Sus scrofa: one gene and its partner. The protein of the gene in region 1 interacts with the protein of each later gene in a biochemical or structural test. Links are inferred from orthologs where the notes say so. Each region holds a gene or a part of one and is shown on either strand. Other genes may lie near its edges. The genes, in order: TLK1 and ASF1A.

What was found.
Region 2: of the proteins of TLK1 (region 1) and ASF1A, one has a biochemical effect on the other in vitro, tested with the Homo sapiens proteins (3 studies listed by BioGRID). The link is inferred for Sus scrofa from reciprocal best matches to the Homo sapiens genes TLK1 and ASF1A.

What each region holds. Positions count from the first base shown.
Region 1 is NC_010457.5:77,326,493-77,330,860, forward strand, and holds the start of TLK1 (serine/threonine-protein kinase tousled-like 1), read right to left. Parts: upstream 3,057-4,368; 5' UTR 2,459-3,056; coding exon 2,320-2,458; intron 1-2,319. UniProt on the Homo sapiens protein: Rapidly and transiently inhibited by phosphorylation following the generation of DNA double-stranded breaks during S-phase. This is cell cycle checkpoint and ATM-pathway dependent and appears to regulate processes involved in chromatin assembly.
Region 2 is NC_010443.5:43,199,520-43,202,432, forward strand, and holds the end of ASF1A (histone chaperone ASF1A), read right to left. Parts: intron 2,592-2,913; coding exon 2,379-2,591; 3' UTR 820-2,378; downstream 1-819. UniProt on the Homo sapiens protein: Histone chaperone that facilitates histone deposition and histone exchange and removal during nucleosome assembly and disassembly.

The DNA of each region.
Region 1 (4,368 bases):
ACATCAATTTATCCAACATACTAACATGTATATCTGGAAAAGATGCTAAGCACTTGTTAAAATAAAAACTGGGACCCTGCTCAATACAAAATATTTCCATCTTGATACCTGGGGCTTCACATACGCAATTCCTACTAGCATTAGTGAAGTGTGAAACTATAGCTTCAAGATGAATATATAACCCTAGGGAGAATTAACAGTTTTAACGTACTTCCTGGTTGGTCAAAAAAATAAATATACCTCTGTGACCATACAGGTACTTGAACATGAAGTGTAATGTCCACAGACCATGCTTTGTTATTTCATTAATAGAGGCTCACTGTCTAGGTCACATAAAAACCTATTTGTAATCCAAATTACTAGAAACTACTTCTGGTTATTTGGAAGGTCACATGAAATAATTCCAATCCCTCAAAATTTTCAAACATTAGGAAAACCGTAGAATAGTATAGAAGTTTTTAACTAGGGCTGAAGTCACCTTGGAAACTCAAGCTAGATTGTGCAGCTCTAAAATTACTAATACTGACAATAGACGTCACAGATGAAAAATTCAACGCTGTGTCCTCAGTATCTAGTACAGCGCCTGGCTCACAGAAAATGGCTCAATAATTATTCAAGAAACGAATCAATGAAAAAAGATACATAGTCTTTTTAAAAAAAGTCTCTCCAAGACTATTATTTAGTATCACTCATTACACCACCACTCATAATAACACTATCATTAAGATTCTTAATGAAAGTACAGACAAAAATAAAAGCTTGCTTAAAGAACCAAGTGCTGTTTACAAAACAGATTTTAAAATTCATTTACAAATTTTCAAGGGCAGAAAGAAAAATCACTTAGGGGTACTAAATTTGAGTTAGTCAATAAATAAACTTTTATCTTCTAATATTCAGAACTCAAGGTTGGGGGTGACATGGAAAGGGGAAATGTCTGTCAATGTATTCAGCAGGCTTAATGGATGCCATAAATCAAGGCTTCCCATGAATTTTCTAGAGGAAATTCATGCCAATCTTTGAGCCTATTGTCACTTTCACACATGCTCACAGGAACAAAATGACAAAGAATGCTACGCCTGAACCACTGGATTCAAGGCACAAAACACTTGATTAACAAATGTCAAGGCTCTGAGTTGTAAATACTGACAGATATTTTCAAATAAATTAATCCCACTGACTCCAACATAAATTAAAGCCCCTGGTATCTTTAAAGATTCACCGGACTACGGACTTCCAAACGCTTTTTTGAAAATGTGGCTACAATCTCCCTGTGTGACACTAAGGGAGCGAACATCTCATTTACCAATTGCTGATAAATACCGCTAAGCGTTTTACAAACAAAAAAGCGTTAAATGCGATTCCACGCACATTTATTTTTCCGTCATAAATGTTTGTGCTCTTTCACATTTCATTTTATGTGGTATACTTAAAGTTAAATACAGCAAGTTGACATTTTAGTCAAAAGCACTCTGCTGTCTTACTAGCTGTGTAACTGCTACATCTGGTGGCGGCACACTGGCATGCAAGAAGCCAGAAAACTTAGAAAACAATTGTAACCGATCTGGTGCGTGTTTGCAATAACCTTTACGCAGATATTTCCCACAAACCCCCCGATCCTGTCAGAGAAGAACAGTAGCCTACTCGCTGGAGAAATAATGCACAAACACGCAGGAGGTGATGGCGAAGGAGAGAAAGTTGCAACCATCTGGAGGAGTGGGTTTAAAAGCCTGCCCACGAATCAGTCTGTCGTTTAAACTGCTCTCGGGGGCCAGGCAGGGGATCAAAGTCGGCTCTAATAATTTCAGCGCCTCTCCCCGAAAGGCAGAGACCTTGCAAGCAAGGGGCATCCTCCAGGTCCCGGGCAGCTAAGCTCGCAGAGCGGGGACCGCCTCTAGGGGAGGAGTGCGGGAGGGAAGGGGAGGGGGCTCGAGGATGAATGCTTCACCCAGAGGGAAAACCCACCAGAGACCGGAGGCCAGGAGGTTAAGAGTACTGAGTGTGCGAGCAAATGGAGCAGAAAGGGGCTCGCGTCCGGGGGGAGACCGCCCACCCCAGCAGGACGGGCTCTTAAGGAACCCAGGCGAATCTGCGCGCCTCGCCTCGCCCCGTCCCCACCAGCGCGCACCCCCTACGTCCGTTTCCTCCGCCGCCCGCGAACCACCACCCACAGCCGGAGCACTATCTCCCCGAAGCCTGGCGGCCCCGCGTACACCTCGCCCCCATCCCCCACCCCAGGGTCGGGGAAAGGAGAACTGAGGGCGCGGGGGCCGGGAGCGGGAGGGGAGACCCGCGAGCGGGCGCGGGCGCGACGGCACTTACCTTCCCTGGGCCTCCCGGATGGCGGCGTGTGATTCAGCAGGGACCTGGCCGCCGCCGCCGAGCCCGGGGTTGGAGACGTGGAGAGCTGGGACCAAGATGGCGGCCCCTCCAAACTTCCACTGCTACTTTGGACACTCATCAAGCTACTTTCTGGGAACCCGACTCCCCCCCTGCGACGGCAGCAGCGGCAGCACACCGGCACCCGCCTCCGTCATGGCGGGGGCCGCGCAGAGGGCGAGCGAGAGAGCGAGGGCAGGGAGGGGAGAGTCAAGGGGATGGGGGGGAGGAAACCGAGAAGGAAGAAGGTGGGGAGGGTAGAGGTGAGGGGAGGAGAGGGGACGGGGAGGAGGAAAAGGGGGAGAAGAGAGGGAGCCGGCGGGCGCGCTGGGGAAGAGGCGGAGAGAACGAGCGCGGCGGCAGAGGCGGCGGAGGCGTCGAGGGGGCGCCCGCCTGGGCCGGGGTCGGAGCGCGGGCGGAGCGCCGGCTGCGCCGGCCGAGACTTCCGCGGGCGGAACCTGCCGGCACCTCTGCAGTGCGTCGGCCCCGGCGTCGCCCGGGTGGCGGCGGCAGCGGCGGCGGCGGGCGATGGGTGGCGGCTGAGACGGCAGGGTAACCTCTGCATCAGTTACAGGCGGCGGCGGCGTCACGCGCCGCCTGTGCAAACACTATCGCGAGGCTCCCGCGCCTCCGGTAGCGGCGGCGGCGGCGGCGGCCGCGGGAGCAGGCTTGGGGGAGGGACCTGCCAGGGGTTGGGGGCGGGGGGAGTGGGGAGGGAACGAGCTAGCGAGGGAGGAGACGCGGGCGACGGGTGCCCCTGGCGCACCCGCGGATCACTACGAGGCGCGGGAGCCGGGGGCTGGCGGACTGTCGTGCGCCGAGGCCGCTTCCCCGCGCCCGCCGGGAGAAGGCGCGCCCCGCACGCGCCCCCGCCGCGCTGCACCGGCTACCGTTCCCGCGCCCGCTCCGCTGCCACCTGACTGCCCCTCTCTCCCGCGGAAGCGCGCCTGGCTCCAGACCCACACCCAGCCTGGGGAGAAATGCTTCAGCTCTCTCTAGGCTGTCGTTTCGCAGGAGTTCGATGTGATCATTTCTCAAAATGGAACTGAAAAGTTGAGAGTTGCTTCTTTCTTGTCTCTCTGTACCGTGCAAACAAAAAAAAAAAAACCAAAAACTTGTGTGCGTTTCCCTGTCTGCAGAATGGGAGTGATTACTGAATGAAAGAGCTAAGAAAATAAGTTAGGGTGGGGATGGAAGTAAAACTTTATGAATGTTTTCCAAAAAGAATCTTTATCCGCATTGTGCATTGTATGTGTGGTCTAGCAGTTCTTTGTTTAAAAACAGTAGGTGGAAAATCTACATAGAAAATTTTGATCACTGAATTCACATATTTAGGGAAACCATCCAGGGTTCATCTTCTGAAAGGTTATGTTTTCTAGAAAGTTCCAGTGCCGCTGCAAATTCCCGAAGCAAATTAGAGCATTTGCTAAAATTTATAGAGTGTAACTTTCTATAGACCCACACAGAGATTGGGCATCTTATACAGAAAAGAGCAGTCTAATGGTTCAGGAAAAATACAGCAAGGTTATTGGTCTCTTTAAAAATACCAAGTTGAGTAGAACACTAAAAAGATTATGATATAAAGCAACTGTATGAGCATGAGGAAATGGCATGATTACCAGGGGGACAAAAATGTCATTTCTATTTTTTATTTTTATGACTTTGCATTTCTCCTAGTAATGTTTTGTTCAGATAAACTATCATACTAGAATAGAACCATGGTTGTCAGTTATCTCCAGAAGTAATTTTAGTTTTCTTATGCTTCAGGTTCTTCAGTGAGTTTTTAGTCATGTACTGTTTTTCAAAGTTAAGAAGTACATCTCACAAATTAAGCAACTTTAGTGAGGTATAAGTAACATACAATAAACTGCACATATTTTAAGTCTACAACTAGCTAAGTTTTGGTGTGTACACAACCCTGAAACCATTTCTACAATCAAGATAGTGAATATATCCATCAACCTCCAAAATTTTCTCTACTCCTTTATGGTT
Region 2 (2,913 bases), on another chromosome or scaffold:
TGCCACTTCTCATCTACCTAAAGAAGACTAGCCTTTCTTCAAGCTGTGTATCACAACCCATTAGAGGGTCATAAAAAGTTATTTCAGTGAATCAAAGCTAGCATTTTCAAAACAAAATGTAGTAAAAGATATTAGAATATATGGCACACAGTAAAGTGACTATAAGGGTACATTTTCATGAAAGTTGTTAATATAAATACATAATTGTGTTATGAGGTCATACTTTAATTTTTTTTTTAACCATGAATTGCAGTAAAAAGTTTTGAAAACTCCTGACAAACACCCTCTTGGTAAAACTAGAAACTCCAAATCTTAAAACCTGAGGGTAAGACCACATGGACACATAAGGTTATATAAGGTTATGAATGAATGAATGAGTTTTTCTCAGACTTCTGATTGTTTTCTCAGCTGAGTGATATTCTCATTCCCTCTCACCTATGCCTGTCTCTCTTGTGGCATAAGTAATTTGTTCATGTTTATCTTCTCACAGCTATTAAGTATGTTCAAAAAGGGAAAAACGGTTCTAAACTTTCTAGCTATAATTCAGACAGCATCTATAAATGAGGCTAAACAGGAAAAATAAAATCTGTATGTTAGTTTCTTCCTTCCTAATGTTTAAATACTAAATCTTTACATTTTAATTATTAAAATTACCTTATAGAACCATGAAAATTTTAAATGAGATACTCATTTTTAAGTCTTAAACATATGTGAAAATTGGCTGTCAATTTACAAATTGATTAAAAACCTAACACTCTGATGCTAATACAAACCAATCATAATTAATAAGAATAAAAACTCAGCAATGAATTGACTTGGTAATTTGGCTTATATATGCTTTATTTCTAATAAGCACATATTGTGTTCCTGTTATATTAATCACTAAGCTCTTGGTTGGAAATATTACTTTTATTTTCATTTTAATATGTAAACATTTTCTTTTAATTGCAATTAGACAAAAATGAAATTTTCTTTATATTGTTTTAACAGTCGGATGTATTTTTACTTTTAAAGTCTGTGAACTAGTTAGTGGACAATATTTTAATCTGGCATATTAAATTTTTCAAAGTTTAACATTTAGCAAAATTTTGCTTCACAAAGTCACTTTTTAGAATGACAGGAAATATATACAACTTAGAATCCATATTCAGACAAATGCCCCTTTCCCTTCCTCAAAATAAAAGCTTTAAAAAGTGCAGTATAAAAGTTTTAGATATGAAGGCACTGCATAACTCTGCATCATATGGCTGTTGCTCAGCAGCAAAAATAATGAGAATATTCTATACTTAATTTAATGGAGCCTAAGAAACTTTGAGGAAGGACCTAGCTCTCATCAGAGAAAAAGAACCTTTTGGCCCATTTAGTTAATGCACTCCTTGCTTTTAAGAGACTTATCTGGAAAAGCTACCTAGACTATGTCAACCACAAAGATGCCTAATCTTACTGTGCATGAGTGTCGGGGGATGTGGAGACAAGTACTACCTGTGAAAATACATATAGTTCCAAAATAGTAATGTATCTATTATCATAAAGCTTCATAGATCTTTCCAAATCCACTGTTTTTTATATAAATAGTGCCAACAACAGATGACCTATCAAAACAGTTTTAAAGAGTTAAGTTCATAGTATTTTTATAAATCTAATGAATAGGATCAAGTCATTATACTCTTCTATTCTTAAAACTTAGGGAGTTTGTATCTGCTCTGGACAGGTAATAACAATGTATGATTCAAGGAGTGTTCTGATGTCCTCAACTGTTACAACAACAAAAAATCATAGCCAGGGGACCTTATAAACAATTAACAGTACATGAACTGAATAGTATTCATGAGAGGTTTCAAGGTGGCCTGGAAAATCAGATCCTAAAGTTCTTGGTAGCATACAGTTGACTTCAAATCCCTTCTTTAAGGACATGCTGAGAAAAGAATGGAAAGTTGCCCCTTAAATCAAACCAAATTATGTGTTATCACGGGAAGACACATTTTAGCTGAAATGAACTTTGTTCTTTCAGAGGTTTGCAAAATAGTGGTCCAAAGAGTATTGTCCAAGAGGCTAAGACATTTCTACAACCTGGTCTAATGATTCATTTTTCTTTATAAGTGCTTTAATTACATATAGAGGAGAAGAAAATAATATATATGTTTTAATCAGATTAGTTTCAGAACAAATAAAATAACACATTAGAGAAAAAAATTACTTAAAAATAGTTGTATTTATATTCCACAATTTGCTCAAATACTGGTTTTCTTATAAACTTTCTACAGGATGTTTTAAAACAAATTCTTCACATTGTATCTTGACTATGTACTTACGGAATTTCAGGGAAATAGTTCTGTGTGTTTTAATAGCTTAATTTGTACTAAAGGGATGGCGGGTGGTCACATGCAGTCCATGTGGGATTCTAACATGACATTTAGTGAGTTTTCTGACGTGGACCATCCCTTTGATGCTGAAGGTAATGCATCTGTTGAAAGAAGTGATTGTAGATTTGGATTACTGCTCTCTGGATCTTCCAGTTTCTCTGTGTTATCTTCCCAGTTAATGTGGAATCTTGTGACTCGGGGATTTGATGCCAAAATATTCCTTTGAAGCTACAGGAAGAAGGAAACATATAAATGGTAAACGCTAAGAAAGTTAGATAACTATATACAAATAGACCTTAATAAGAATGGTTCTTTATTTAGTACTCCTAAGGACTAAGTTCACATACAGAGGCAAAAGTCAAAGCACCTTAAACATAACTAATAAATAAGGACCAGGGCTGCAGCAAGGAAATTACTCTAGCCTAAAGGAAACTAGATATGGAGGACCTGAGGGAATTATCCAGATCTTTTTCTTAATCCAACATAACATCCAACTCTATACTTGTTTCCTAAAAGGAAGCATATCTCTTGAATGCTTCAGAGGAAACTT